Linked DNA regions of Saccharomyces cerevisiae S288C. Changing the gene in region 4 together with the main gene of any one other region gives a genetic interaction. Each region holds a gene or a part of one and is shown on either strand. Other genes may lie near its edges.

The links.
Region 1: mutations in SWE1 (region 4) and TPM1 together harm fitness more than expected from each alone (negative genetic interaction), as found in Saccharomyces cerevisiae (5 studies listed by BioGRID, with this or other methods).
Region 2: of SWE1 (region 4) and HSL1, a mutation in one rescues a mutant of the other (synthetic rescue), as found in Saccharomyces cerevisiae (6 studies listed by BioGRID, with this or other methods).
Region 3: of SWE1 (region 4) and GIN4, a mutation in one rescues a mutant of the other (synthetic rescue), as found in Saccharomyces cerevisiae (4 studies listed by BioGRID, with this or other methods).

Annotation. Positions count from the first base shown.
Region 1 is NC_001146.8:476,455-482,591, forward strand, and holds TPM1 (tropomyosin TPM1), read right to left. Parts: upstream 2,712-6,137; coding exon 2,112-2,711; downstream 1-2,111. Other genes in the region: mitochondrial 37S ribosomal protein uS13m SWS2, read right to left, coding at 1-165; EOS1 (Eos1p), read right to left, coding at 478-1,578; NIS1 (Nis1p), read left to right, coding at 3,314-4,537; APJ1 (Apj1p), read left to right, coding at 4,937-6,137.
Region 2 is NC_001143.9:247,129-257,249, reverse strand, and holds HSL1 (protein kinase HSL1), read right to left. Parts: upstream 8,331-10,121; coding exon 3,774-8,330; downstream 1-3,773. Other genes in the region: MTC2 (Mtc2p), read right to left, coding at 1-480; rRNA-processing protein UTP11, read left to right, coding at 778-1,530; YPF1 (aspartic endopeptidase), read left to right, coding at 1,790-3,553; YKL102C (uncharacterized protein), read left to right, coding at 8,883-9,188; metalloaminopeptidase APE1, read left to right, coding at 9,568-10,121.
Region 3 is NC_001136.10:1,458,585-1,467,520, reverse strand, and holds GIN4 (protein kinase GIN4), read left to right. Parts: upstream 1-1,734; coding exon 1,735-5,163; downstream 5,164-8,936. Other genes in the region: glutamine permease GNP1, read left to right, coding at 1-1,068; GMC1 (putative oxidoreductase), read left to right, coding at 5,967-7,793; PSP1 (Psp1p), read left to right, coding at 8,301-8,936. UniProt on the Saccharomyces cerevisiae protein: Serine/threonine-protein kinase which regulates the localization and the function of the septins during mitosis. Phosphorylates SHS1.
Region 4 is NC_001142.9:73,090-81,033, forward strand, and holds SWE1 (tyrosine protein kinase SWE1), read right to left. Parts: upstream 6,174-7,944; coding exon 3,714-6,173; downstream 1-3,713. Other genes in the region: SOP4 (Sop4p), read right to left, coding at 1-325; 40S ribosomal protein uS11 RPS14B, read left to right, coding at 698-707, 1,116-1,522; 40S ribosomal protein uS8 RPS22A, read right to left, coding at 1,821-2,213; 60S ribosomal protein eL39 RPL39, read left to right, coding at 2,844-2,849, 3,236-3,385; alpha-1,2-mannosyltransferase MNN5, read left to right, coding at 7,066-7,944. UniProt on the Saccharomyces cerevisiae protein: Protein kinase that acts as a negative regulator of entry into mitosis (G2 to M transition) by phosphorylating and inhibiting the mitosis-promoting cyclin B-bound CDC28 at 'Tyr-19'.

The DNA.
Region 1 (6,137 bases), on a different chromosome or scaffold from region 4:
GATTTGGGGTTCTGATAGTTGGTGCATCCTCATCCAAGGGTAGAACCCTAACTTCGAGCATATCTTTTCGGCTGTTGTTTTACCTATGCCGTAAAATTTAGAGGCCAGTGCGATTTTAATGACCTCTTTACCTTTGAAACCTTTACCCAAGATGTGAACGACCATGGTTTTGATGGAAGACCCGACTTGATTTGCTCTTGAATCGTCTCTTCTATTTTGAAGTAACAACGTATCCTAGCCTGATATATGAAGGAGTTTTTTTAACCTTAAAGAACAAATATATTTCATTTCTATAATGAGCGCCATGTCGTCAATAGGGATATTGTATCTTCAGCTGTCATGTAACATATTAACTTCCAGGAATCTTAATTGAATGATTATGTAGGGATGATCTTGTAGCGTAAATATAGATACATAGTTAGAGCTGTTGCAGCATATACATATACATATATATTATATATTTTTCTTTTATTTTTTTCATGCGGGGGGATGCATTTCATGCAGTATTCTTTCTAATTGCTCTACATCCAATCTTTGGATGAACAGGTTTCGCAGTAAACCTAACATGGTGATAAAACTAGCTAGTCCCACAGGGACGACACAAAGAACCGTGATTTTATATAGATCTATCGTTCGCTTAGTGGTAAAATTGAATGCTTTTTTTGGATATTTTTTGGGTCTTTTAGGGCTTTGTGAATGAGAGACTGAGGGCCTGTTAACAGGAAACAATCCGCCATCACTGTTATCGGAGAGACTGTCGTTGGAAGGAACATCTACTGTACTTTCGTCGGCTACCACAACATGTGAGTCTTCATCAGCGTCATCTTCACCATCCTCATAGTCTTCTGTTTCTTCTGGAACATTAGTATCCTCTTGTACTTCGCCTTCCTGGTTCCTGATATACCTCAGATCCGAGGTAAGATAACTTTGCCAAATGTACACTGCTGTTAGTACACAACTAATGAGTATCCATGTATGCAAAAAATAGTCGAGTTCCGGAGACAAAGACGACAAAAGAAGGAGTTCTAAGGTGACAATGATCAATGACATGGAAAACATTCTTAAAATGGCGGCCACAGTAGAGTACTTGACGATCCATCGGACCATCAAAGAGTCGAGAATGGCATACGAGAGGTATAAAGACACCAGGCACCAAAGTGAGCAAAGGAGATATTCAGACGCTCTTGCTGTAGTGAGTGCGGATAATAGGAGTGAATCCTTACCGTCGCCATTCACAGCCTTTTGCGAAGCTCCTTCAAATGATGAGTTATTGTCGTAAGCGCTATTGAGTTTTTGCCAGAAATAAGTGAACGCATCTCTTAGTGATTGTGGCTCGTAAAGCGTTATGCTGGTGCGCATGGAGACTCTCCAAGCCTTCCGCAGAGATGTGAAGATGTAAGTTAACGGCGGTAAAAGGGATATGTCCCTGCATAAGGCCATCAGCATATGCTGCTTGGCAGTTAAATGATTCAAAGACAGCGTTTTCATAGAACTGTACGTCTTTTTAAAGGTCGCTCGCTCATGCTTGGCATACTTGTCCTCATGAGGGCCCATACCAGTACTTAGTATCCACGTCATCTGGTTTTTTAAAACCCTGAAGAATCAAATAAGATTATTTGACCAAAGGAAGGGAAGGGAAGAGAAAAAAAACTTAAAGAAAAAAGAAATGAGAAACCCTGGTGTGTTCACGTAGATGCACAGACGGTGGGCAACCCAAAACTTAGTCTTCCGATAAACTTTTCAGGTTCTTGTACACGTGGAAACGCCCGATATATATCACATGTAGCTGTGTAATATGAGAATGCCTTTGTCCATGTGATAAACCGTGCAAAACTTAACATGGGAGCAGGCACAAGTGTGAGTCCCACGAACAAAACGCCGCTCGGGTAATAACGCCCAATGTAAAAACATCATAAATCAGCACGCAAACGGTAAAGAACAAAAACATCTTCAAGGGAAAAGTATACAGATGTATAGTCTAAGCTATTGTATTTGTATAAATGGTTCTTATTTTAGTTTCGTTTGCCCATGAGCGTTTGATTTGCTCAAGAACAAGGAACAAAGACCAGCGTGTTGGGGAAAAGAAAAAGAAAACAAAAAACAAAAGTAGATCACAAGTTTTCCAGAGATGCAGCAATTTCGTCCAGTTCCTTCTTTGCGTCTTCGTACTTGACGGTCAATTCCTCGTTCTTTCTTTCCCATTCTTCTCTTTGTTCTTCCAAGGCAGCTACTCTTCTTTCCAATTGATCTGCCTTCAAGTCGGACTCTCTCAATTTCTCAGTGGTTTCCTTTAGCTTGGTGTCGCTTTCCTCCAAGTCTTCTTCCAATTGCTGGTTCTTCTTGGAGAAATTGTCGTTGTTGGACTGCAAGTGGTGAGAGTCCTCGGACAATTGCTTGGATTCAGCCAATTCTGCTTCCAACTTCTCGATCTCTTCCTCCAATTGGTGGTTCTTCACCGTCAAGGACTTGATCTGATTTTCTTTTTCAACGTTATCCTGTTCTGTTTGCTTAGAGTCAGAAAGTCCCGCTTCCAGCTTCTCGATCTCATCCTCCAATTGCTGGTTTTTGACGGTTAAAGACTTGATCTGATTCTCCTTTTCGACGTTCTCTTGCTCCAAGTCCTTGTTCTTCTCTTTCAACTCCTCGTACTTCTCCTGCCATGATTCGGCTTCCAACTTCAAGTTGCTTAGCTTTTCTCTGATTTTGTCCATTGTTGCCTTTTTTGTGTGTATGGGGTGTGAGTTCTACTATGTAGATTTCTTCTACCAACCTAATCTTTTACAGTATCAGAAGGGAAAAACGAACCTTCTTCTTGCCAAGTATGCAGTATGTGATCTCTAACACTTTTCCGTTTCTCGTAGATCGTGCTATGGTGTGCTGATTTTTTATTTTAATGGTTACCCGACTTCTTTACCCGGCTCTCCGTCGGGTAAGATATATGTGCTAGCGCCACGCGATGGCTGGTTTGTCTTTTTAAGTTCTTAATATTTATTTTTATATTTTGATTTTTTTTTTTTTTTTTTTTTTCCATTAGTGAATGACAGCAATGTATTAAGCTGCTGCCGCGCATACAAAATGTACTGCGTTAAATTAGATTAGCTTAAATTAGTGCTTGGTAAAGGAGGAGTGGTTTCAAGTCCGGTGTGCGCCCCACTTTATTCGGGTATCTTCTACGTTTTTACATCCATGTTTCAGGTACTGTTGAAAATAGTTAAGATCGTTCGTATTTCTTAATTCATGTATTTTTCCCTGTTCCTAACTCGCAAACATCAGTTTTCTTGCAGATACGTCTTGAAATACAACCATACAGACAATGGAGACATACGAGACTAGCATTGGGACTCAGTCTTATCCCCCGACTTTGTTCCCACCTCCCCTGGGTACCGGTGGGTTTACCACTTCAGGTTATATACATGCGCTTGTGGATTCTACATCGAACTCGAACTCGAACTCGAACACAAATTCGAACACAAATTCGAACACAAATTCAAATTCAGATACCAAGATTCCTATAGTGCAAATATCGGATGACTCTCATATAACACACGACAGCTTCAAACCATATATGGAGTACCACGATGCTTCGCACTTGAGGAACCGTAACATAAGCAAAGCGGACCAGGTTGAAAGCACTGAAGTGATGGAACAGTTTACGCAATGGTCGAATTATAAGATGAGGTCTCGCTCTCCTACCATAAACGCAAAGCCAATTCGACACACTTCACAACGAAGAACAGACTTTACCAGCAAAAATGAACTCTCCAAGTTCAGCAAGAATCATAATTTCATTTTTCACAAAGGGTTTTTGAAGAGGCAACACTCCATACGCAGGGAAGACAGGCAAGCAAAGGTACGGTCAAGATTCAGGAGCAAGAAGGAGCTGACATCCGTTTTGAACTATATAGAACTGGAACAAATGGATATTGCAAATGTCCTGGCTTCGCAACCGGTAAACTTACACGCTATCAGAAATCTCACTAGCAGGGACCCTGCGGTAACTCCTATCCCATTTTTAAGAAGCCAGATGTATGCAACCAGTAGTCGTCCACCGTATCTAAGGAACCGCTCCATAAGTAGGAAACTACCCAAATCACAACCAGGTAGTCTCCCGACGACTATGCCTGCGACGGCGACGAAAACAATTAAACAGAATTCAACGACCCCAACCACAAGATCTGTTTATAACAAGAATGTGGGGCGGTCCAATACTTCCCCTAGTGTGTTGTACCACCCAAAAAGAAGAGGAAAATTGAACACCAAATCGCATGCAAGAAAGGAGCAACTGCTGTTGGAACTGTGGAGAGAATACTTAATGCTGGTTATAACACAGAGGACGCAACTGCGCCTGACTTTGCTTTGCTCTCCGGGTTCAGCATCGAATGAAAGCTCTGTCTGCTCTTCTAACGCCAGCGACTTAGACATGTCCCTTTTATCTACTCCTTCAAGTCTCTTCCAGATGGCAGGTGAGACCAAAAGCAATCCTATAATTATACCCGACAGTCAAGACGATAGTATACTTAGTAGCGACCCCTTTTAAGTAGGTAACCCCCCCTGGATTGCATAGCCATTGCATAGCCTTAGACATCAAACTTTATTTAATCACATTATCCTTCTATGTATCTTTTTCCCCCGCTCGATTTCTTCTAGAACATTACGGAAAATAAAGGAAAAAAATGACTGGAGCATCGAATCTGTAGACTAAAAAGGTAATGACGCGTTCTTCGTTCCCACAAGTATGTGAAATCGTTTGAACGCTTTTATATACTGATAGGAATAGATTATAATAGTATTCAACATTCATCAAACAGTTTATATCGGTAATAAACCAACCTCACGATACAGTGATTATTTCTCTAAACAACACGAGCCGTACTGTACCTACGATAAAGTAAAACACATTTTTCTTTTGCTACCAGTGGACACAAGATAACGGAGAATGCAACAAAACACGTCTTTATATGACTCTTTGAACGTTACTGCCGCTGCATCCACATCTGAGATTAAGAAAGCTTACAGGAACGCTGCATTAAAATATCATCCTGATAAAAACAATCATACAGAAGAATCCAAGCGAAAGTTTCAAGAGATATGCCAGGCATACGAAATACTTAAAGACAATCGTTTAAGAGCTTTGTATGACCAGTACGGTACCACAGATGAAGTCCTGATTCAAGAGCAGCAGGCGCAGGCGCAACGCCAACAAGCCGGGCCGTTCAGTTCATCCTCAAATTTCGATACGGAAGCAATGTCATTCCCGGATCTATCTCCAGGTGATCTTTTCGCGCAGTTTTTTAATAGTTCTGCTACCCCCTCTTCTAATGGCTCCAAAAGCAGTTTTAATTTTAGCTTCAATAATAGCTCTACGCCGAGCTTCTCCTTTGTTAATGGCAGTGGCGTGAACAATCTGTACTCCTCGTCAGCAAAATACAACTCCAACGATGAGGACCATCATTTGGATAGAGGCCCTGATATCAAACATAATCTAAAGTGCACATTGAAGGAACTCTACATGGGTAAGACTGCAAAGTTGGGTTTGAATAGGACAAGGATTTGCAGTGTTTGTGATGGGCACGGTGGTCTAAAGAAATGCACTTGTAAAACATGCAAAGGGCAAGGTATTCAAACCCAAACTAGGCGTATGGGACCTCTAGTACAAAGTTGGTCTCAAACTTGTGCAGATTGCGGGGGTGCCGGGGTTTTTGTCAAAAATAAAGATATTTGCCAACAGTGCCAAGGTCTTGGCTTCATTAAGGAGAGGAAGATTCTACAAGTCACCGTTCAACCGGGATCGTGTCATAACCAACTTATAGTACTTACGGGCGAAGGTGACGAAGTTATTAGTACTAAGGGAGGCGGTCACGAAAAGGTAATACCTGGTGACGTCGTTATCACCATTTTACGTTTAAAAGATCCGAATTTCCAGGTTATCAACTACTCCAATTTGATATGTAAGAAGTGCAAAATCGACTTCATGACCAGTTTATGTGGAGGCGTAGTTTATATTGAAGGGCACCCTAGCGGTAAGTTGATCAAACTTGATATTATACCTGGCGAGATACTGAAGCCTGGTTGTTTCAAGACTGTTGAGGACATGGGGATGCCCAAGTTTATCAACGGTGTTCGGAGCGGTTTCGGTC
Region 2 (10,121 bases), on a different chromosome or scaffold from region 4:
GAAAGACGTGGGCAGGAAGATGCGAGTTTTGGGAGCTGGTTTACCTGCTTCATCCCCATCCTTAGCGGCGCCTGAAGGCTGCACGGGATTATTCCAATGAACCACTCCTATAAATATACGTGTTGACTGTGCCTTCTCAATCGCCACTGTGCAATCTCTCATAATTTTTACTAATTTCGCTTGGTCTGGCTGTAAAAGAGAATTTATGTCTGGAATGATAACAATCTCAAATTCCTTAACATGTGTAGTTGCTAACGAGTCCAAGCTTGCAGTTGTTGAGTTCAGAACCGTGACCTTTATTCCTCCGCCCGGATAAGCGTCATTGATTGCCCTCTTCAGTTGTATATCACAAGTACTTGGCATCGAAGAGGCTAATTTTTCCTTTGAGACGCTGTCTCTATACATACATAGAAAGCTCTTTTTAGCTGTAACAGAAAACTTCAAACATGTCTGAAAATCCGGCAGATTATGATCGCCCATTCCTATTTTTGCCACATCCAATCAATAATTTTGCAGCTCCGATTTTGCAGGTGTTGCTGTTCAATGGAAGTAATCGTTGTTATAAAGGAGCACATCACCAAGTCCTCTAAGGCTTAAAGGTTTGTCGTTATGCACGTAAAAGATGAAATTTTTTTATGGCTAGATGAGCTCATCGCGATTTGAAGAAAAAGAGTAAAGAAAACAATGCTAAGAAACTACAATAAGAGCAAGTTGCATATCATCGAATAATACTAGTGGGGTTTTCTAGTTCGTTACAGCCAACAACAGACAAAAGATATGGCTAAACTTGTACATGATGTTCAGAAAAAGCAGCATAGAGAACGTTCTCAGCTAACTAGCCGTTCCAGATATGGGTTTTTAGAAAAGCATAAAGACTATGTGAAACGTGCTCAAGACTTCCACAGGAAGCAGTCCACTTTGAAAGTCCTCAGAGAAAAAGCAAAAGAGAGAAATCCAGATGAATACTACCATGCTATGCATTCAAGGAAGACAGATGCAAAAGGACTGCTGATCAGCTCACGTCACGGTGACGAAGAAGACGAATCGCTTTCCATGGATCAAGTTAAATTACTCAAAACGCAAGATAGTAATTATGTGAGGACGCTGAGGCAAATAGAGCTGAAAAAGCTGGAGAAAGGAGCGAAACAGTTGATGTTCAAAAGCAGTGGGAATCATACAATATTCGTCGATTCCCGAGAGAAGATGAACGAATTCACCCCAGAGAAGTTTTTCAATACCACCTCCGAGATGGTGAATAGATCTGAAAATAGATTAACTAAGGACCAATTAGCCCAAGATATTTCAAACAATAGGAACGCTTCATCAATAATGCCAAAGGAATCATTAGACAAAAAGAAATTGAAAAAGTTCAAGCAAGTCAAGCAGCACTTACAGAGGGAAACTCAATTGAAACAGGTCCAACAAAGAATGGATGCTCAAAGAGAATTGTTGAAGAAGGGTTCCAAGAAAAAAATCGTAGACTCTTCAGGAAAAATTTCATTTAAATGGAAGAAACAACGGAAACGTTAGATTTTTACCATCTATATAGTATATATAAGTGAATCAGGCAGACGTTCCGTAATCCTTCTTTTCATGTTTTATAGGATTACGTTTATAAAAAGTATTCACTTTTCTTAAGTGTCTTTTGCGCCATCAAAAAAAAAAGGATTTTGAGGCACCGGAAAAAAAAGAACCCCTCTCCGAATGGGAGTATTTAGGACAAGATTTGTAAAGTGCTCCCTTTTTGAGCAATACTACAGATCTATAATGGGGAACAAACTCATACACGATGGACAAGTATTTGAATTCATTTGTTGACCACCTTTCAGAGTGGTCATCTCGTGCCTTTAGGAACAATTCATCAAGCGCTAACCAAAGTGCGTCGAACAAGGAATTAGAACAAGTTTTTGAACAGATCAATGCTATAGTTGAAAACCACAATAACAAATTAACCACTGCCTTTGATAAGATATCATATCGCGTTGCTCACAAGATTACACACTTGGTGGAAAGCCATTCTTTAGTATTCAACTACGCCACTTTAGTTCTCATCGCAAGTGCTTTGGTCGTTATTGGCTCATTTACGTCTATTTCTTCTATTCCATTTACAGCTCTACCTCCTACGAGAGAACACTCATTGTTTGATCCTACAGATTTTGATGTGGACCACGACTGTCATGTTATCTACCGCGAGAATGACGAAGATAAAAAGAAAAAGAAGAAAAGCAAGAGGTTTTTCGATATGATGGATGAAAAACATGCGATTATACTGCCCTTAACTAGTGGCTGTACTTTACTCGCTCTCTATTTTGTGATCAAGAAACTACACCTAAACTGGCTAAAATATGTGGTGAAAATTTTGAATTTTAATATAACACTGCTAAATATCCCAGCTGGCACATTTGTCTACTCCTACTTTCTCAACTCACTTTTCAGAAACCTATCACATTTAGCTTCTTGGAATCCCCTGGTTGTTTTACCAAGGTATCGTGTAACAATAGCTGATGATAACGAAGACCTGAACAAGATAGGCGGGTTTGTTACCAATTTGAATTACAAAGATGGATTGACCAACTCAGTTGTTCACAAGAAAACATTGGATGAGATTGAAAAAGATCATTGGATGAAGCATTTTTACAGAAGAGAATTAGTTGAACCGAAGGATATTAAATCGAAGAGGCAGATCAGCAACATGTATTTGAATAGCGCATTAATTGTTTCGTTCGTTCTGTCCATCGTTTCTACCGTATATTTCTATTTATCACCCAATGATTGGTTAATATCCAATGCTGTCAGTATGAATATGGCTATTTGGTCCATTGCTCAATTAAAATTGAAGAATTTAAAATCAGGGGCCCTAATCCTAATTGCTCTATTTTTTTACGACATTTGCTTTGTCTTTGGTACCGATGTAATGGTTACAGTAGCTACTAACCTTGATATTCCCGTAAAACTAAGCTTACCAGTCAAGTTTAATACAGCTCAAAACAACTTCAATTTTTCAATACTTGGTCTGGGTGATATTGCCTTGCCTGGTATGTTTATTGCGATGTGCTACAAATATGACATCTGGAAGTGGCACCTTGATCATGATGACACTGAATTCCACTTTTTGAACTGGTCATACGTTGGAAAATATTTTATTACTGCTATGGTTAGTTACGTTGCTTCTTTGGTATCTGCCATGGTCTCCTTGTCCATTTTCAATACTGCTCAACCGGCTTTATTATACATTGTTCCTTCCTTGTTGATTAGTACTATTTTGGTAGCTTGCTGGAACAAGGATTTTAAGCAGTTTTGGAATTTTCAGTATGATACGATTGAAGTGGATAAAAGTTTAAAAAAAGCGATAGAAAAAAAGGAGAACTCTATAACTTATTCGACCTTCATCCTATCAGAATACTATAATGATGCCGACAAGTATGCCTTGCTTGGTGATGATGTAAACGAAAATTTTGACGATGATGAAGAATTCGTGCAAGAGGAAGATCTCAGTGACAGCTCTGAGGAAGAGCTTTCTGAAGAAGATCTCTTGGATGACGAATCTTCTTGAGCTCCAAAAGAAACGACAGCTCTTTTTACCCCTCCAGGGTTGTATTTATCTTCTAATCTAGGACAATGTTTGTAAAACCCTCTTTCTTTCCTTCGTGTCTCATGTCTCTCCATTTATTAATGTTCTTTTAAACTATGTTTTCTCACGCCTGTCCATTCGGTTCTCGTACGTTAAATTTTTCAAATTATTGTTGTATAATTATATAACATCTATATAGAATTTATGAACGTCCGGCATTTCGAATTACTCTCTCCACATCATCATTAAACTTTTCAAAGGCTTTATTGGAACTTGTGTTTGAATGTTTGCTTCTTTTTTTTACAGTAATTACCGTAGATGCATTGGGTGTGCTAGTAATCTTGATTTTGAATTTGAAGTTGCCTTTTACAAATTTACAATCGTATTCCACCACCTTTCTCCCAAATTTGTGATCTAGGTTCTTTAATTGATAGTCGATACTATTCTTGTTGAATTCATTTAATGTTAGCATATGCGCATCATCAAATGATATATTCGTTACATGATTCTTGGATGCCTTAGTAGCATTATTATGAGAAGAAAAGTTTTGAAATAGTTTGACGAACCAATTCTTTTTATCACTGGAAGGCGCTTCTTCAACTTCAACATTTTGGACACTTTTTAGAATTGGCTTTTTTGTATGGGTTTGTGTATTTGATTCCATAGCGGTATCCTTCGTAACTTTAATCGTTGAGGGTTTTGGTATTTTAGAGTAGTTATTTTCTGTATTATTTGCATTTTCCTTTTTTTCAACCACCGGCAACACAAGTTGAGAAGATTCCTCGGATATTTTATTGTCTAGCTTGGTATGCTCTTCTTTAATTTTTCCCCCACCTACTTTTTTAGATTCTTCCTCCTCCTCATCGAAAAGCATTGTCACTCGTTGTTTTGGATTAACGCTTTCCTCAGATGGTCTTCGCTTTGAATAGCTCATACTTGATTCAAGAATATCAGCTTGAGAAGTATGCCCATCTTGATCTTCCTCCAAATCTTTGAACATTGACTGTAAACTTTGAGAAATGCCTAATGCATTACTATCACGACTACCACGCGTGGAAGAAAACCTCTTTTGCATATGTGTATTAGAAGGATTTTCTGGTGACAATCTAAGTTTAGAAAGTATCTCTTCAGTAGTCTCTCTGGGTATACCAGAACTGTTATTATTCCAATAAAGACTTACTCTAACATTTGTCGCGGGAGTAAGAACGTTTGTTGTCGCCATAGTGTCAATAGATACCGCTTTCCTATGCACACTTGCTCGTGAATCGCTTTCTGAAGAAGATGTATTTAATGAACCCTCATCGGAGGGCGCATCTTCAAAAATATTAATGGCTTTTTCATCATATGTGTTTGGTATAGTATAATCTGGAATATAATTAGTATCGCTATTATCTGGTTCTTTTTCCTTCGAGATATAGGCTGCCGATTTGATTACTTTTTCTTTTGTAAAAGAAGATGCTTTGGGCGAAGTATTGATTTTATTATTGTCCGTGTCGTTGTTCATCAGTTGAATCGCCTGAGCGGTAAAGGTGTTTGTTGGTATTTCCATCGCAAATGTCATATCAGAGATTCCATCCAGATCATTACTCAAATAGGAGCCAGGTGAGCCCTGATTACGTTTAACGGATAAATTGGCGTTCAAATTAGACCGTGGAGTTAGAGATATTTTGGCAGATTGTTTTCGCAAAGGGTGTGACATGGCTACACTTCTAGATTGGTTCTGTGGCACACTTAGATGCTTATCATCACCGTCATCAGCGAGTATCTGGCTAAGATTTTTGAACGTCATAGATGTGTTCAAAAAACTAGAAGGTAAAGACAGCATTGGTTTTTGAATTGTACTAGATTCTGCTAAAACACTGGGATCTCTCGAAGATGTTGCTACTGTTGTTAAAGGTACATATGAACTTTCGATTGAAACATCTGAGGCTTTGACTGGTTTTTCGTCTTCCACATGTTCACTCATGAACAAGGAACCTCTCTCATGGGTCCAGTGAGAGGCTGGCTCCTTTTTGAATTTCAGTCCCTGCAATAGTGATTCCACTTTTGAATTCACTGGCTGGGAGATGTTACGGCGGGGATCTAGAGATAAGGACGGTTTACCTTGATCATTAGGCAAAGAATTTACACGAAGTTCTTGGTGCTGAATAGGTTTGAGTGGTGACGGGCGGTCATTTTTTTTTTGAAGTTGTTCTCTTTGAATCTTTTTTTCTATCCTCATACCTTCCTGTTTATTCATTTTATTGAATGAGTTCGTGATATCTGAAAGGGCCGCTCTCTTTGGCTTCTGTTCTTCCAAATAACTTGAGCTTAACGTGTTTTCTTTTTCAAAGATAGGAAATGAAGAGAGCCCTGACATATTCTCAGATGGTTTATATGACATATTGAATTGATTTTTCTCAATTTTGGTTGGATACTCCGGGCCCTCATTTTCCTTATTTGTAGACACCCCAGAGATCGTAAAAGTGTCTGCCGAAGATTTTGTATCGTTTTGCCTCTGTCTTTGGGTGTCGCGTTCTTTTTCATTGTCCTCTTCCTCTTCGAGTATCCTATCTAAGGCGTTTCCAAATAAGATCTGATCGCATAAGATCTCAAAATCAGAGTCTGATTCCAACGAATGGGGTTCTGATTTATTCACATTTTCGGATGCTGGTTTCTTACTAGGGAGAGGATCGTCAAAGACTAATAAATCATTCAGGTTCAAGGAACGTTTTGAAATTGACTGTAATGAGTATAAGGATCTCTTTGAAGCCGAGTTTTGTAGTGTTCTTCTAGCGGCAACAGTTGCAGCTATATTCTTCCTCGAAAGTGATTTATGTATTGATTTAGTAGATGGGGAGGCGTGGATTGCCCTTCTTGACAATGAATATCTTGAAGGCGACTTCGGCAGTTGAGGTAGAGGCATCTCATTATCATGCACAGTTTCTCTAGAAGTTGAAGCGGACAATGATAATCTGGAATTCGATAAGCGTAGCGATCTTCTCGAACGTGATGAAATAGAGGTGTATGAGTTACGGAAAATCCTTGATGAAGAAGCATTGAATATGGGAATAGCGGGTGGTAATGTTACAGCTTCTGCTTCAGCCTTATCACTTTCAGGTTGACTGAGCGTATTGATACTAAATTGCGATTTTTGTGCCAATACAGGGGCATTAATTTCTGTATTAACCCCTGTAATTGCGTTGTTCTGATTCACTGTTGAAGTATCTTCTGAATGAATTTCTAGAGAATGTAAAGTCTTCACATCATTGTTCTCGCTCCTTAGGCCTGTATTATTGGCAGTTTTGGATGCGTATTCAATCCTAGGTTCATTTACGCTACTTTCTGTTGCTGATTTCTTGTTTTCGCTTGACGAGGACAATGATATTGAGTGACGTTGTTTATATTGTAATAACAGTGAGTAGAATAGTTTTTCCTCCGACATTGGCTTTTGAAGCAACTTGGCAGTGATTAGTTCACGAGAAACTCCATGCCACAAAATTTGCAAACTCCTCAAGATGGATTCATCAATTTCCCCTTTTGAATGTAAAGTTACAATAGAGGGCGAGACATTATTTAGCAAATGCAAATCCGAGTTAGATTTTCCCCTCGCCATGTTATCCTTTCTCATTTTCCTCAGCACTTTATTAACTGGGAGATCATCATATTTTTTGATCAGAGGATGCTTCAATATCTCTTGAGTGGTAATTCTTTTTTCTGGATCAATTACCAATATTTTTGATATCAAATCACGAGCCTCAGAAGATAAATTTGAGGGCATTTGATATTTGCCCGATTGAACTTTCAACAACAGCTTTTTGATGTTGTCATCATTAAATGGTAAATGACCGGTGAGTAATGCAAATAAAACGATACCGCAGGACCAGACATCGCTAGGACCGCCATGATATGGTCTACCCATAACAATTTCAGGAGACGCATAGTGTGGAGAGCCACATGAAGTTTTTAAAAGTTTATTAGGAAGCTCTAATGCTGCCATGCCGAAATCAGCAATTTTGATTCTCCTATTCTTTTTATCTAATAATAAATTTTCAGGCTTCAGATCACGATGGCATATATTAAAAGAATGACAATAGGAAACACCTTCAACTATCTGCTTGAAGTAATGGATAGCCTCCCTTTCAGGTAGCTTTCCCTTCGAGACCAGATAATCGAATAATTCGCCACCATCAACATATTCCAAAACTAGGTACAGCTCTGATTTGTTCTCCCAAACTTCAAACAATGCCATAACGTTTGTGTGAGATATCAATTTCATGATTACTATTTCTCTCTCTATGCCATATGGGTTCGTTTGAGAATGGTTACTATGTTCTCTAGATGCTATTGATGGAGAAGATACATTGGAAGTGACCATGGAAGAAGAGTAAGAATTAGGAACAGTTCCATTATTAGAACAATGAACAAAGGCTTTCTTCTTGGGGACAATTTTAATGGCAGCTAATTGTCCTGTTTCCATATTTTTAGCCAAGCGAACCCTACCAGAAGATCCCTTCCCCAATGTTTTGCCAAGTTTCCAAGGACCCACCGTGTCTCTGGATTTTCTCTTTGATGATTTTGTAGCAACACTTACGGTAGAGTCGGGCTGAGATAATCTTTTGGTAGCGTCGTTCACAGATTGTACAACACGCTCCAAATGCCCCGACGCCCTTTTTGGATTCGAATTTACTTTGGCCATGGCCCTTTTAGCTGCCTTCTTGGCCAATGAAGACGGGCGACCTTTGGGTACGTGGCTCGTTTTTGAAACGTGACCAGTCATGTCGTGTGGTAAAAATAAAAAATATTAATAACAAATAATAAAGGAGTGAATATAGTTGGTTGTTGATTTATTTATCAGTATTTTTTGTCCCGCAAATCTATGTCGTTCTTTTTACCTTGTCTTTCTTGTAATTTTATTATTTATCTCTTTTCGCGATTAGTAGCAAGTAGTATGATGGATATCCAACCTATTTGATGATCTATTTGAGTTCAACTCTCTGTTTTAATGGCCTCTCGCTGTCCAATTTACGTCCTTGCAGTCGGATAACTAGCGAACTTACGATCCAAAGGGAGTTTTAAGAAGAAACAGGTTTCGAGCAAAAGGTAACTTGCTTATATTAAGAACGCCAATAAGAGTGGCCACTATAATGCTGCTCCCAGCCGGTACAAGACGGTACGGTACGTGATGGAGATTAGTTTTCACTATTTAGCCCAAACAACCCAACGCGAAAATGACCACGCGAAAAGAAAAATTAGTAAAAATATTTCACAACGCGAAAAATAAGGACGAAGGCAACACATTCCACCTTCCCTGTTATTGTAAAACGCACAAATGTGTGCTTTATTCGCTGAGGTTTCATCGACAGCTGCAGCCAGTTGTTCATTCGGTGTTCTCTTGTGCAGCGGCTCAAATTGTGGCAGGCTTGTAGGCTCCGAACGCCGTAAGGTACTTTATGTTTTTAATGTCAACGTTTGCAAGAAAATGTCATCCTATTACTTTCTGAGGCATGATAACATTGTAATCCCTTATCTCTTGCGCTTGTTGGTATCAGATAAAGAAGCATCAAACAAGAACCCACTCCTTCCTTTTCTCATGGATAAAGAGAGGTCGCACCATTTCGTGAGGAATATGAATTAGTCAGCTTCTACTTTAGGGTATAGGTTGCAAACTTCCGTTTTTCTCAAGGTTTAATCAGAAGCATAATAGGTCTTCGGATGATTTCTTGTCTAATTCAAAAAAAAAATAATCTGGGATAGGTTTTTCGGGAAAAACAACTAGGGGTGATGCTGTTTTGCACCTCTATTACTGTAAGATAGGCTATGCAAGCAAACGACAGTAAGAAAGAATAGGGTTAAGTGAAATAGTTGACACACCCCTTAATCGTTCCATTAGATAATAAAAATTCATTTATAAGCAGTTGACTTCACAGAACAAGACATACACTGTATAGAGCCTGATCAGTAATCTTAGTGCAATTGTAGAAACCTGCACAACCAACAAAATTAAGAAAAAAAGAATGGAGGAACAACGTGAAATACTGGAACAATTGAAGAAAACTCTGCAGATGCTAACTGTAGAGCCATCTAAAAATAACCAAATCGCCAACGAAGAAAAGGAAAAGAAAGAAAATGAAAATTCGTGGTGCATCCTCGAGCACAATTATGAGGATATTGCACAGGAATTCATTGATTTCATTTACAAGAACCCTACCACTTACCATGTAGTATCATTTTTCGCGGAGCTGTTAGATAAGCATAACTTCAAATACTTGAGCGAGAAATCCAATTGGCAGGACTCCATTGGCGAAGATGGTGGGAAATTCTACACTATAAGAAATGGAACTAACCTATCTGCCTTTATCCTGGGCAAAAACTGGAGAGCCGAAAAGGGTGTCGGTGTCATTGGATCTCATGTGGACGCTTTGACGGTCAAATTGAAGCCCGTCTCCTTTAAAGACACAGCGGAAGGTTACGGAAGAATTGCTGTTGCTCCCTATGGAGGTACACTGAATGAATTGTGGCTAGACAGAGACCTAGGTATTGGTGGTCGCCTTCTTTACAAGAAGAAGGG
Region 3 (8,936 bases), on a different chromosome or scaffold from region 4:
ATTATTGATTGTGGTGGTGCAGGTACCGATGGTTACATAGGTAGCAAATATTGGCGTGATCCCGGAGCCTTCCGTGGTGATACACCCATCCAGAGGTTCAAAGGTGTCGTTGCCACATTTGTCACAGCAGCGTTCGCCTTTGGTATGAGTGAACAGCTGGCTATGACTGCCAGTGAACAATCCAATCCAAGAAAGGCTATTCCATCGGCGGCAAAGAAAATGATTTATAGAATTCTGTTTGTGTTCTTGGCGTCTTTAACGTTAGTTGGTTTCCTTGTACCTTACACCTCAGATCAATTGCTAGGGGCCGCAGGTTCAGCCACTAAAGCGTCGCCCTACGTCATCGCTGTCTCCTCTCATGGTGTTCGTGTGGTTCCTCATTTCATAAACGCTGTCATCCTGTTGTCTGTTCTTTCCGTTGCTAACGGTGCCTTCTATACCAGTTCTCGTATTTTGATGTCGTTGGCCAAACAAGGTAATGCACCCAAATGTTTCGATTACATCGATAGGGAAGGTAGACCTGCTGCTGCTATGCTTGTCAGTGCATTATTTGGTGTCATTGCATTCTGTGCCTCATCTAAAAAGGAAGAGGACGTTTTCACCTGGTTGTTAGCAATCTCCGGTTTGTCTCAATTATTCACGTGGATTACCATTTGTTTGTCTCACATTAGGTTTAGAAGAGCTATGAAAGTGCAAGGAAGGTCCTTAGGAGAGGTTGGTTATAAATCTCAAGTCGGTGTCTGGGGGTCGGCTTACGCTGTCCTTATGATGGTGTTAGCTTTAATCGCCCAATTTTGGGTTGCCATTGCCCCAATTGGTGGAGGAGGTAAGTTAAGTGCCCAATCATTTTTTGAGAATTATTTGGCTATGCCAATCTGGATTGCTTTATACATCTTTTACAAAGTTTGGAAAAAAGATTGGAGTTTATTCATTCCCGCTGATAAAGTAGACTTAGTTTCTCATAGAAACATCTTTGATGAAGAATTATTAAAACAAGAAGATGAAGAATATAAAGAGAGATTAAGAAACGGACCATACTGGAAAAGAGTTCTTGATTTCTGGTGTTAAAGCAGAAATCACGATTCAAAAAAAAAAAAAAAAACTTGAAGAAACAATTCAATTAGCATATTATTTCAAATCCCAGCCTTCCTACACGCTCTTCCTGTTTTATCTCTTTCCTTTCATTCTCCCGTCCCCCTCATTCATGTATTTCTTATTTCATTATACTATTTAACTCTTTAAATATTCTATGTACTTTGTGCAAACATCATTGTCATCACATAAATGCATTCCTACTATTACTAACTTGAACTTCACTTCACTGGAAGAACTGGGTTATTCAAGGTAAAGAAATCATTTGTTTTGCGCCAAGTTTCGTCTGACAAGAATTTTTTATTATTATTTCCCACTTTTCATCGAAGGAAACGCGTCAAATCCATTCGTTACTACGCGCAATCTGCGTTATTTCCTTTTTCGGCATACCATCGCGAAATATCAACGGCCACACCATAGATTCCTTTTGATGTTAAATTAAAAGCGACTGAATGAAGTGCACACATTTTTTATTTCTTCTTGATTTTCTTTTCTATTTTGTTTTGCTTTCTCTTCTGTCGACAACGTCTCAACTGTACTCACCATTAGTATTCTCGAAGGCTTTAGCAGACTTGTGAATAATTAATTGCCCACTTTGATCAAGAAAGATATTCGCAGCACAATACAATAATAACATTCAAAATGGCAATCAATGGTAACAGTATTCCTGCCATAAAGGATAATACCATCGGTCCATGGAAACTAGGTGAAACTCTCGGTCTAGGGAGCACTGGTAAAGTCCAGCTTGCTCGTAATGGATCCACAGGACAAGAGGCGGCAGTTAAGGTAATATCAAAAGCAGTATTCAATACCGGTAATGTCAGCGGTACTTCGATTGTTGGCTCCACCACCCCAGATGCTCTACCATATGGTATAGAACGCGAAATAATCATTATGAAGTTGTTAAACCACCCAAATGTGTTACGTTTATATGATGTCTGGGAAACAAATACAGATTTATACCTTGTTTTAGAATACGCGGAGAAAGGTGAGTTGTTCAACTTATTGGTTGAGAGAGGTCCTCTGCCAGAGCATGAAGCTATCAGGTTTTTTAGACAAATTATTATTGGTGTGTCGTACTGTCATGCGTTGGGTATTGTCCATCGTGATCTAAAACCGGAAAATCTATTATTAGATCATAAATATAACATCAAGATTGCAGATTTTGGTATGGCTGCTTTGGAAACTGAAGGAAAGCTACTGGAGACGTCGTGCGGATCACCACATTATGCTGCACCAGAAATTGTATCTGGTATACCGTATCAAGGTTTCGCAAGTGATGTGTGGTCATGCGGTGTGATCCTATTCGCCCTTCTTACTGGTCGGTTACCCTTTGACGAGGAAGATGGAAATATAAGAACACTATTACTTAAAGTTCAAAAAGGTGAGTTCGAAATGCCTTCTGATGATGAAATTTCGCGTGAAGCTCAGGATTTGATTAGAAAAATCTTAACCGTTGATCCTGAAAGAAGAATCAAGACCAGAGATATACTCAAACATCCGCTATTACAAAAATATCCAAGTATAAGAGATTCTAAAAGTATTAGAGGCTTACCAAGAGAAGACACATATCTCACGCCATTATCAGAAAGTAATTCTTCTATTGACGCTACGATTTTGCAAAATTTAGTAATATTATGGCATGGAAGAGATCCTGAAGGAATTAAGGAAAAACTAAGAGAACCTGGCGCTAATGCAGAAAAGACATTATATGCACTACTGTATAGATTTAAGTGTGACACTCAAAAAGAGCTTATTAAGCAACAGCAAGTTAAGAAGAGGCAGTCAATTAGTAGCGTTTCTGTTTCCCCATCTAAAAAAGTATCGACAACTCCACAACGCAGAAGAAATAGAGAATCTTTAATTAGTGTAACATCTTCTCGTAAAAAGCCAATATCCTTCAACAAATTCACTGCCTCCAGTGCCTCCTCCAGCAATCTAACTACACCCGGTTCTTCAAAACGCCTTTCAAAAAACTTCTCTTCAAAGAAGAAATTATCTACAATCGTTAACCAATCTTCTCCAACACCAGCATCACGTAATAAAAGAGCTTCGGTTATAAATGTGGAAAAGAATCAAAAAAGAGCCTCTATCTTTTCTACTACCAAGAAGAACAAAAGATCTTCTAGATCTATCAAGAGAATGTCATTGATACCAAGCATGAAACGTGAATCGGTGACAACAAAATTAATGTCAACATATGCGAAATTGGCAGAGGATGACGATTGGGAATACATTGAGAAGGAAACAAAGAGAACGAGCTCAAATTTTGCAACTTTGATAGATGAAATTTTTGAGTACGAAAAGTACGAACAAATAAGGAAAGAGAAGGAAGAGCTAGAACGTAAAGTGAGAGAAGCAAAAGCACGTGAAGAGCTGGAACGTAGAAGACGTAAACAAGAAGAAAAAGAACGTGCAAGAAAATTACTAGAAAAGGAAGATCTGAAAAGAAAACAGGAGGAACTCAAGAAGCAAATTGAAATTGATATAAGTGATCTAGAGCAAGAGCTGTCCAAACACAAAGAGGAAAAACTGGATGGTAATATTAGATCTATCTCTGCTCCTATGGAAAATGAAGAGAAAAATATCAATCATTTGGAGGTTGATATTGACAATATTCTCCGTCGCCGCAACTTTTCTTTACAAACTAGACCTGTGTCAAGGCTTGATCCGGGTATAATGTTCTCCAGTCCAACTGAGGAAGTAAGTCCAGTGGAACCAAAGAGAACAGAAAATGAAAGACTTACAACAGAAAAGAAAATTTTAGAAACTATCAGAAGATCAAAATTCTTGGGTTCATCATTTAATATCGATAAAGAGTTGAAATTGTCTAAAATGGAATATCCAAGTATAATTGCACCACAAAGATTGTCAGAGGAGCGAGTGGTGTCAGATTCTAATGATGGATATGAATCTTTGATCCTCCCGAAGGATGGGAATGGCGTATCTCAATTAAAGGATAGTACCGCAACAACTGCTCCCGTCTCTGATGGTAGGTTGAGGAAGATCTCTGAAATTAGAGTACCACAATTTACTAGAAAATCAAGGCATTTTAGTGAGTCCAATAAAAGGCTATCTGTCCTGTCGATGTACTCTACCAAGGAGTCGTTTACCAACTTGGTTGATATTTTGAAAAACGGTAACCTTGATGTCAATAACCAACAAAGCCAAAGAATTCCAACACCAAGAAGTGCGGATGATTCAGAATTTCTTTTTGAAACTGTCAACGAAGAAGCTGAATATACAGGAAATAGTTCGAACGATGAGAGATTGTACGATGTCGGTGATTCCACTATCAAAGACAAATCCGCGTTAAAGCTGAACTTTGCAGATCGTTTTAATGGATCGAACGAAGCGAAACAAACTGATAACTTACATCTTCCGATCCTTCCTCCGCTTAATGGTGACAATGAATTGCGTAAACAGAATAGCCAAGAGGGTGACCAGGCACATCCAAAGATTAAATCGATGATACCAGAATCAGGCTCTTCTTCACATACTGAAAAGGAAGAAGAAAATGAGGAAAAGGAAGAGAAAAAGCCAGAACAACACAAACAAGAAGAGGATCAAGAAAAAAGAGAGAAAGTAGTAGATGATATGGAGCCACCATTGAACAAATCTGTGCAAAAAATTAGGGAAAAAAATGCTGGCTCGCAGGCAAAGGATCATTCAAAAGATCACTTAAAAGAGCATAAGCAGGATAAAAATACAGCAATTGGAAATGGTTCCTTCTTTAGAAAATTCTCAAAATCTTCGGACAAAACAATGGAATTGTATGCCAAGATTTCTGCAAAACAATTGTTTAATGGTTTAGAGAAGCTGTTGCGTGGTTGGACTCAGTATGGTTTAAAAAATATAAAATCGCACCCCAACAATCTGACCTTAACGGGTAAACTATCGAGTGATAATATATTCTCACTACGTTCAACACTCTTTGAGGTTAATATTTATCCGAGAGGTAAGATGAGCGTTGTGCAGTTCAAGAAAGTTTCTGGTTCATTCAAAGCTGTCAAAAAGTTGGTCAATGAAGTTGAGAACGTCCTGAATAAGGAAGGCGTTCTACAAAAATAGTGCTAATGTAATGCAATCATGTTTTGTCTCCTTCGTTTTGTTCTGCCATAATATTTCGCTCATATTATTTTTGCTTATTTTTTCCCCTCCGTATTAATACTTTAAATAACAATCTAATGGAGGTACTGGACTCTATGTACTATTATATTTACCCTTAAAATATCGTGTTGATTACTATTTGTATAACCGTTTGTTTTTCTAACTATATATGAAAGAAAAGTAGTTATAGTTATAGTAGTTGAAGATTTAAAAGCTATTTGCCCTCTTTGGGATTAAAGTAAGAGCTAAACATAAATTATGTAACAGTTTAATTTTCCGAACATTAATTGTTGTTAAAGGCTTTAATATCAAGTATACTGAATATGCTAGAAGTTCCACTCAAGCATATAAGAATATCTGCCTAAATTATTATTTATCACTACAACTTGGCTACAAATTATGAACAATGAGGCCGACAAGAAGTTACTCTCTTAAAAAATGGGATATGATATATACAAACATATGATACAAAAATTTCAACAAATAAGTGGTTGTTTGGCCGAGCGGTCTAAGGCGCCTGATTCAAGAAAAAATCTTGACCGCAGTGAACTGTGGGAATACTCAGGTATCGTAAGATGCAAGAGTTCGAATCTCTTAGCAACCAATATTTTTTAGTTTACATTTTTTTCGGGGATAGTCATAGAGGATCCACCTTCATCTCAGCTGTCCACATTAAGGCCAAAGCTAATAAAGTGGCACATACTGGGCGGTTAAACAAAGTTATTAAGTAATTATTGCAAAACTCCGTGGACAACTTGTTTAGAATGAAGGTCATTCTCCTTAAGCCGGTTCAGTTGCCAATGCTACTCTTAATACTATTAAAATTTATTATGGCCGCTAAGGAAGGCAAAATACATGTCTTAGAATTCAATGCGAGCAGTGAATACACGCTTGATAAGAGAAGAGTTATCTCCATAAATGGCTACAGCGCTACATTTGGCCCAGAAATTCGAGTTAAATCCGGTGACACTCTTAACTTGAAATTGACTAACTGGATATGTTCAGAAGAAGAAGCTAGTAAAGACAGTGATGTTTGGAAGGATTACTGTTCAACAGCTTTACATTTTCATGGGGTGGTACCTTTAGCAAATGAATTTGATGGAATTCCAGGTTTAACACAGCCCACTATTGGATATGGAGAAAGTTATTGGTATAATTTTACCATTGATCAATCAACCTGTGGTACTTTTTGGTACCATTCGCATTCATCAGTACAATACGGTGACGGTATGAGAGGTGTTCTGATAGTTGAATGCGATGATTATGATAATCATGTGGCAAATACTATTAATTCTGTGAGAGACATAGAGACACTAGATGACGGTGTTGTTACAATGAAAAAAGATAAACACACGAAGGAATTGACGGATTATGAAGTTCAAGAAAGGATTATCACTTTGAGTGATTGGTATACCAATTGGAATTTGGACATTTTAAACGACAAGGTTTTGTCATCTACCGGGGGTACAGATCCCAAATTTGATGGATCATTAATAAATGGAAAATCATCTGACGGTGAAACTATCAAAATAGGATTTAACACCGAGTATCTTCTTTTGAGAATCGTAAACTCAGGAATGTCTGGTACTCAAGTCTTTCACCTTGATGGATTCCAATTAATTGTTCTAGAAGCCGACGGGATTATGATTAAACCGTTCATTGTACAAACGATAAATTTAGCGGTCGGACAAAGATATACAATTTTGGTCAAACTAAAGTCTGACACTAGTTTTATTCGTATGATTAATGGCTGTAACAAAATGATGGGTTATATAACAAAACAGTGGTGGTTTTACAAAGAAGGCGCTCATTTGGACCTACCAAAGAACCCCAATGACGTTTCCATCGAACACTTGCCTGGTTTCACTAAGGCCGAGCTTTATCGCGACATAGAACCAACGCAAGAAGAGAATAAAAAGTTACGCACAAAGGCTGATCCTGTTGCAGTTTTCGAATTCGATTATGCTTATTACAAAGATGAAAGCACGAAACAAAAGTATGGGACTGGGATGTATAAGGTGAACGAACGGACATTCAGCGAGTACGTAAAAGACCCGGTAAGGTTCGGATTCAACGAAACATATGATATTGTAATCAACTCACTGGACCACATGAGACACCCATGGCATATGCATGGCCATCACTTCCAGATAATATCTCTTGGCAATAAAGGTGATGGCCCATTTCACAAAGACGTACAAGAGGGCAAGGCATGGAGCCGCTATCAGAACGATTTACGTCACCTGGCCCGAACCGGAAAGGCACCGATGGTAAGGGATAGCATTAACATTGCAGGAAATTCTTACGCGGTTTTGAGAATTAACACCGAGATGCCCGGAAAATGGCTTTTACATTGTCATGTGGAGTGGCACATGATGAAGGGGCTTGGCATTGTCTTTGAGGTTCCGACAACAACCGAGGACAGTACCAAACAAGCAACTACAGCTGTATTATCGTACCCTACCAAGGAACCTGACCCTAACACTGTTGTCCATACAGCCGCACTTGAACAAAATAAGTCCAAGGTAATAGCCGTCTACATCCTAATCATGTGTGCGGTTGATGCTATCTTCTACTGGTTGCTCATGTAATCACATCCATTTCTCCCAACTCATTGCTTTTTTTCGCTTTTCCCACAGCCGTTTACAAGGCCGCAAAAAAGAAAACCCGCAAAGCTGACGGAAAAAGTATCGGCTAGCTTTCCATTGGCGACAATCGCCTCCGAGTGCGAAAACCTGTATTTCTCTGACTGCCGTAGGTCATATAGGATTGGGTCATAACGGTTTTTTGGAGACGAATCCTTCCCCTAATCGTGTTGGATAACATTACGGATCCGTGTTTTAGCTAAAGGAACAAAACAAAAATAAATAAAGGATAAGAAGAAGGATTCACTGATAATTAAGAGCTGTATTTTTCATTGGTTCGGCAGTTAGAAACAGAGATAGCATCAGTTCGAGTGTTCTTTGATATAGTAAACAGCGTATATAGAAAAGAATAAAGTGTATTGAAAGGCTCAAGAGAATTATAGAGAAAAAAACGAAGGATAAATCAAAAAAAGCGGTGTCTGATACAGTGCTCAATAGAAATACAGTTGCAAAATGGACCTCCCAACTGTTAATAGCACAACAAGCATTTCCGACAATGTGGATTTAAAGAACTACTATGAGGACTTGCTTTTCAAGAATAACAGCGGAAAATCGCTATCCGATTTACCCCGTAAACTGAATGATAACTCCAATAATTCAGGAAGTGATACGGTTGATCCGCTTGCTGGCCTGAATAATTTGAGAAACTCAATAAAAAGTGCGGGAAATGGTATGGAAAACAGGAGGACTTTTGACGATATTGATTTTATGGGTAGGTTTCCGTATTTGCCACCAGTGCCAAATCAACAACAGCAACCGTTTTCTCACCAGAACGGGTTCATTCAAGAACACCCTTCCAGTAATTTGACCTCTTTTCAAATGTCTTCGTCTAATTCAGAGCCGATGTCCGCACCGCCCATTTCATCCAATAACAATAATTTAAACTCTACTCAAATGGGTAATTATCAAGCTCAACAACGGTCGTTCCCGCAATTTAATGGAAATTCATTTCATTCAAATGGAAACGACCTAATGGGGAATCGGATGGATTCAGACTACATGCGTTTAATGAATAAAACAAACATAGGTTTTACTTCCAATAGCGGCAGCAATTTTGCTGCCCCATCACACAGTGCTGGCAACCCATCT
Region 4 (7,944 bases):
CAATAAGAATTCTGTTTGGCTTCAGATTGAAGTCCATAGATGCTGGGTACATCACATAGTATGTCGTTTCATTAACACCGTCGTTTAAAGGGAGATTAGCGAATTCAAAGTTGCCTTCGTCATCTTGAAACATGGTCGTAGATGTGTAAGGATATTCTGTCGAAAAATTGCCGATCTGATAAAGTTTGAAACTTGTTCTAGTTGAAACAAAGCCGGTGATGTTACTTGCTGCTAAGTCTAAGCGACCCTTAATGGTCCCTCTCCTGGCCGTAGCACTGGCGACATAAATAAATGCACTGAGTAAAAGAACAATCTGTGAAAACATCGTCACACTGCTCTTTCACTTGTTGATCAAATTTACTTTGATGATATTTAATGGCTTGACAAATTCGTTCATCTTAATTTCATACATAATTTCATCCTGAAATCCTCGATCATTTTCGAGACTGTTTTTCGAGCTTGATTTTATATGTGGTGTAAACACATCATTGTACATCCTTGCACCACACTGAAAAGAATATGGAAAAAATTTCAAACTTTTTAATGGGTGATAGACTTGAAAAACAAAACGGAATAAAAGATATAGTCGCAAGAACTTGCCTTCTACGAGTATAAAAGCGGTACTATTCCTTCTGTATGCATCTTCATCGCAAGAGAGAAAAAGACTGAAATCAACAACTCCCAATAACAATTAAGAATGGCTAACGGTACGTGAAAGGGGTGATATCCTGTTTAAAACCATTTAGTTATTCTTTTTTTCAGATGGAGACTGTGATCGGGTAGCGCATGATGTTATTATTGGAATTTTATTTTTTTTGCAACTTTGAAGCACTCCTAACTATATTGCAATAGTGTTATGAGATGCTACTTATGTTTGTAAGGCCATGAAATTCTGTAATACGGAGTTAAAATTTCTGCAATAAAGCACTTCAATGCTATTGTGTTATAGAGGCTCTGCGCTCACCCTTAATACTGTATCATCTGTAATAAAGAATGTTTATCTTAAAAGGATTGTAACTAAATGGTTGTTAGATAGTGACTCATTCGTTTATTTTTTAATAATCGAAAAAGCAGAAGTTCTGTTTACTAACAACTATACCTCTTATCATGTATAGACCTTGTTCAAGCTCGCGATAACTCTCAAGTCTTTGGTGTTGCCAGAATCTACGCCTCCTTTAACGATACCTTTGTACATGTTACCGATTTATCTGGTAAGGAAACTATCGCCAGAGTTACTGGTGGTATGAAAGTCAAGGCCGACAGAGACGAATCATCTCCATACGCTGCTATGTTGGCTGCCCAAGATGTTGCCGCTAAGTGTAAGGAAGTCGGTATCACTGCCGTTCACGTTAAGATCAGAGCTACTGGTGGTACCAGAACCAAGACCCCAGGACCAGGTGGTCAAGCCGCTTTGAGAGCTTTGGCCAGATCTGGTTTGAGGATTGGCCGTATCGAAGACGTTACTCCAGTCCCATCAGACTCCACCAGAAAGAAGGGTGGTAGAAGAGGTAGAAGATTATGATTTCTTTTTTTTTTACTCTATTAACGCATGGAAATACGGCTTTACCTTCTCACATAAATATAGTTTGTTTAATTAATAAAGCCAATATAAACATTTGCATATTCGACTTCGTGCATGCAGAAATGCGGCAGATAAATTCATTTCTGTCTAATCTTTTGAACAGTTTTAAAGTACAAATATATTAGTATTTAACAGGAAAACTAAAAAAATGTATAATAAGAAATGAGTAAAGTTATGAGGCTATCTTGTGTTTATTATAGTATATAAAGCTACCGAAAAGGTTGTTGTAACAAGTAGCTTAGTAAACGAAACCCAAAATCTTACCAGAAACGTGCTTTCTTCTGGCTTCTTCATGGTCCATGATACCAGCAGAGGTGGTCAAGATGACGTAACCGAATTGTCTGGCTGGCAACAAGTTGGCAGTCCATTTTTCAATGTCACCAATCTTAACGTTGAATCTTGGGGAAATAACACCACACTTGTTCAATCTACCGTTCAATTGAACAACAATCTTACCAGATCTGTGGTCATCGATGTATTCAAATTCACCAATGTAACCGTGCTTTTGCATAACTTGCAAAAACTTGATAATGACCTTGGAGGATGGTCTGATTAAAACTTGACGCTTACCGGTCTTTTCAGCGTTGTTAATGGCATTCAAAGCATCAGCTAAAACGGAAGATCTGGTCATCTTGGATATGTATGTTGGTCTTGTTTTATAAAAAATACTAGAACTGAAAGGCCATTAAAAAACCTTACAATTTAAGAATTGAATAGTCGATTAAGATTATTTAGATTGAAATTGACTAACTGCAAACCCATATTCAAGAATTATTTCACATCTTCCAGCGAGTAAACATGCCGCTGGTAATCGCGCGTCCTCAATATTTGAGTTTTTCAAATAGTGAGGTGTGGATGTATAGAGGAATTACACACTTTTAAGTATGTGATGTATGGGCGCACAGTACCAATTTAACTTTTTTTTTTTTTCATTTTTTAGCTTGATTTTCAAAAAACTTATGGGCGTTTTAGGCTCCGGCTCAAACTACCACCACCACGCGGCAGGCCGAGGCAAACAGTACGCCTTGGCGGGGACGCCGAAGCGACTCCTTCTGTTCCAAGCTCAATGGTCCTTGCGTTTACGCTCGCGCGTGGGCTAACTAACGCAATTCGGCTTTTGGGCTGTCGAGAACCGAGAATTATTCTTCGCCTTGATAGATACTTTAAAACTTCTACTTAATATACTTTCTACAATTTTTGGTACATTCATATTATACTGAAAATTCGAAAAAGACAAGCAAATAAACACAGATAGATCAACATGGCTGTATGTTAGAAAGATATTATAAATCCCAGTTAGATGCTGAACTGATCAATAGCAAATTATAAACCACATCCATCTAAATGACCTTACCACCTACAATTTGGATTTGAAATAGAAGCAATGTGTAAAATATAGGGAAAGGATTAGGAGTGTTAACCATACTAAAATTTTTCTTATCCGAAACAGAAATCTAAAGTCGCCACTACGCAGATTAAAATATGGTCATAAACTGCTTATTCTGAGAACTTTTGGTGGTCCAGCGTGGTTTATGTCAGGTGGTATTGCCTTGGATCCGTGAATGCATCACATTGATGAGTTTGAACATTGTTACTAACATTTTTTACAATTGTACACTTCGTATGTGCACGATATGTTTCCCTTTTAATTAGGCTCAAAAGTCTTTCAGAATCAAGCAAAAAATGGCTAAGGCTAAGAAGCAAAACAGACCATTGCCACAATGGATCAGATTGAGAACCAACAACACTATCCGTTACAACGCTAAGAGAAGAAACTGGAGAAGAACCAAGATGAACATCTAAGCGAAGAACATATTTATGCTTCAAACTTTTTGTCATTTGTCTTCCATCCTTCCCTTATTCTCAATATATATGTAATACGTCGTATTTGATATATATATATATATATATATAATATAATTTAACGGTTGTTATCTGCTACATCTGTAAAATAAAAATAAAAATGCTTGAAGCGGCTGTACTTAAAATAAACTCATCTAAGGTTTTACATGGTATTACTACCGGACTGCAATTACACTCTTTTTCGTTATTGGATTATTTATACAATGCGGCCCATAAGCACGTGTGGGAAAAAAGTATGTAAATAAAACAAGGTTTTTTGTTCCATTTATCATATAAAAAATTTTGGCTTAGGTCCAAAGTCGTCTTCCTGGATAATAGCACCTGCATTGCGTGTCATTTCTACATACAGGCATTCCTCAGTTTGTAAGATTTGATTTGCCGTGGGCCTTCTCTCATAATTGGGCTCTATCATCCATCGTACTATTCTCTCAAGTGATTCACCATCAATAAGAAATTTCGGTACCCATGCGGGAATTTTAGAACTTTTATGCAAAATAAGACGATTCTTGGTAGCGGCAGTATTGACATTATTATTATCGTTGCCATTATTCATATTAGGGTTGTTGATATTACTATTGTTATGAACAGTGGAGGTGCCAGCGTTGTTACTATTACCACTGATATTGTCTCTTTCAAAATCAAATAAATCATTTGTATCTACTTTCGTAATGTCTGAAAATAATGATTCAGAATGAATATCTGTGGAACTTAATCTTCCTGCATCCGATAAATCACCCGATCTCAACTTATGCCATGCGTTGCCATTGTCAGGTAACACAACGTTCGCTGCAATTTCAACAATCATCAGACCCAGGGAAAAAATATCTGCCTTGTAATCGTACGTACAATCAGAAATGATTTCTGGTGCAATATATTCTCTGTCACCTTCATTTTCAAAACTTTTATCCTCCAACGGTAAATGAGTAGCCATTCCAAAGTCACCTAGTTTTAGGTTACCTTCAAATGTGATCATGACGTTTGCGGGTTTCAAGTCCAGATGCACAATGTGACAAGAATCATGGATGAATCGTAAAGCCAGGCTTAATTCCACGATGATTTTCCAAATTCTCCAATCTTCCAACCTTTTTTTCTTTGCGATAACTTGCTCTTGTAAAAATCCATCCAAATTACCATTTTCGCACAATTCTGTCATAATATAGTATGAATTTTGAAACTTCCAGGAACTGATGTAATCGATGATGTATTCCTTCCCTTCTTGATCCATTGTAATTTGGTTTGTTACCTCGTTTAGTATTTTAATTTCCAGTAATATGCGTTTCAAGGAATTATATTTGTTTGGTTTAATGGCTTTGATTGCATACTTTTTGTTTGTTTGGGCAAACGTAACCTGGTAGACCGTGGAAAACTGGCCTTTACCAATGGAATGCACATTCGTAAATTTTTCGAAAAGATGGGAATCTGGATTTGCTGATAACTTATTTGAAGAGATTAGACGCCTTTTGGAATTTAACGGCGAAGAATCGGTGGAAGATATGGAATGCGTCTCTGCACTTGTTGTGTTTGTCACGATGGCAGAGGAGAGTGACAATGGTCTGCTTTCTCTATGTGTTTGAGATGTTGCCCCAATAATAGATTTTCGTCTTGTTGGAGTGGAGATCTCTTCGTCAGTGTCATTGTCATAGCGTCCACGAAATTGATAAGGTTGAGGGTTCTTTCTAGTTGAATGATGACTTGATATTATGATTGGAGGTGGGAAATTCTCGTCCGTGCCGTATAAATCATCTTTGAATTGTTGTAAACTGTTTGTTAGCTCTCTATTTTTCAAAATAACCGAATTCCTTGCTCTTTTGATTTTTTTGAACTTGTTAGAATGCAATGTTTGTGGAGAGCTGTTGGTAACCAAGCTATTAGTGGGAGACAGGATGTTTGTCTGGTTATTGTGACGATCATGTGCATGATATTTTGCCTCGCTCAGTGGGGATGAGTCTATGGTTGGTACATGGATGGAAGGTAAAGCTTTCGAAGACGGAGAATCTGAAAATAAAAGGTCTTCTTGTAAATTATTGTCTTCAACAAAATTTAAAGGGGAAACACTTAGAGAAGACGATGCATTTTTCGAACTCGAAAGGTGGACATGCTTATGGTCTCTTCCCTCCACTAAGGGTGATTTTTTCACTGGTGTTTCTGGTATCCTCAATTTCGCAGGGTATAACGAAGTGTCCATAGACATTTTAGATACGAGGCCCGAAGACGTAAAGGCTGATTGGTTAGGTTTAGCGACGCTATATGAAGAGGATGAGGATGTATTTTCAGTGCGAGCATCATTTTTCGGAAACCATCGCTGGTTCCATTGTTTGAGAGAAATAGGACTGTTCGTTTTTTCCGCAGATCTTTTTGTAATAGGAGTAGTAACACTTTCATTTTCATGGAACGGAGACCACCTTTTAATACGAGAATCCACGCTTTCCTCATCCTTGCCTTCTTCCTCCTCTTCTTCCTCTTCTTCAATTTTCCCAAGAAATTTGGAGTTAGCCTCTGACAAAGCTGTATTACTTAATGACAGGTTCAAGGTCCCCGTACTTCTTGTCAATTTGTTGTTCGAATATGGATAAAATTTCAGTTTATTGGTCGGGGTGCTACCCCCTATAGCAAAATCATCACTCTCGTCTTCGCCGGCCTGTTTGCCAAACATCTTCTTCCCCATAAACTGGAGGTTCTCCGTGTCCAGCATTTCGAAGTCCTCTTCATCCTCGTCCAAAGAACTCATCTGTTCTCGTGTGCGCCTGTGTGTGTTTACTTTTCCCCAGCACTACGCAATCAAAAATAGTAAGACCTGTTCAGTAGTAATCCTTTTTTTATTGGACTAACTGCGCAAGATGATGTGCAGGATAGTTAACACACGCATACATACAAAAAAGAGCCTCTTGGACAACCTTTACTTAATACACAGGGGCACGCCAATGTTCAACTGTGTTGTTGATTTCTTATCCAGCATTCTTTTACTTCTCTGCATTTTTTTCGCGTCGCGTCGCAAATTGTGATGGTTAAAAGAAAAATGAAAAAATATTTTTCGCGTCGTTATCACCCGGAGGAATAAAAAAAAGAAACATACACATCACGTGACCACAAGAATGTTAGAAAGGCTTACCAGTACTAGAGACGTTAATAAATTGCGAATAGCCCCCTATCTCCCACATGTTGGCATCTGTGAGGTGGAACCTATTTAAAGGTGCCACATTTCTTTCCTTAGAGGACGATGGTTGCAAGATCAGCACAAATCCATAGTTTGATGCATGGAAAGCGAAGCACTCTAACAGAAGTAAGATAATAAACAATCTCACGATTCTACTGATTTAAGTGCAACTAGCTCTTGGGCTTCTTTTGGTTGCCAAGTCGGAATAGACGACAGATGCATGTTTCGGTGCAGAGTTCAGAGAGATAAGTGCCTTCTTTTATCTTTTTCCCCGTTCTTGCGGATTTTTTTTTTCACTTTCTCATCGGCGGGGAAAAAAAAGTGTAACAACTAAAGGATCAACACGGCTTTAAAGTGTTTTATATATACGCAGATATGAAAAAAGCATTTTCACGGTTATTGGAAATTTTTATTTTACGACTGGTTCCTAGCACAACAAGAGGATATACTAATAGTTCAGGTTACAATGCTGATTAGGTTAAAGAAGAGAAAAATCCTGCAGGTCATCGTGAGCGCAGTAGTGCTAATTTTATTTTTTTGTTCTGTGCATAATGATGTGTCTTCTAGTTGGTTATACGGTAAAAAGCTTAGATTGCCGGTTCTAACAAGGTCGAACCTTAAAAACAATTTTTACACAACACTGGTACAAGCCATCGTGGAAAACAAGCCGGCAGATTCGTCTCCGGACTTGAGTAAGTTGCATGGGGCGGAAGGGTGTAGCTTTGCAAATAACGTTGCTGCACACGACTCTGGACACGATAGTGACTTAAGTTACGAGAGCTTGAGTAAATGCTATAATTTGAATAAAACAGTACAAGAAAGCCTACGAGAAGTGCACAGTAAGTTTACAGACACCTTATCAGGGAAACTGAATTTTTCCATCCCACAAAGAGAGGCACTTTTCTCAGGTTCTGAGGGCATTGTCACCATTGGAGGTGGAAAGTATTCTGTGCTCGCGTATACGATGATCAAAAAGTTGAGGGACACGGGTACTACATTGCCTATTGAAGTCATCATTCCGCCTCAGGACGAAGGCGAGGATGATTTTTGTAAGAACTGGTTGCCGAAATTCAATGGTAAGTGCATTTATTTCTCAGATATCGTTCCTTCAAAGCCATTAAGCGATTTAAAACTCACGCACTTCCAGTTGAAAGTCTTTGGGTTGATAATTTCCAGTTTCAAGCGTATTATCTTCTTGGACGCAGATAACTATGCGGTGAAAAACCTTGACCTTGCTTTTAACACTACATCCTTCAACGATACTGGCCTGATATTGTGGCCCGATTTTTGGAGACGTGTCACCCCTCCCGCCTTTTACAACATTATAGGATCTAGCATTAACATC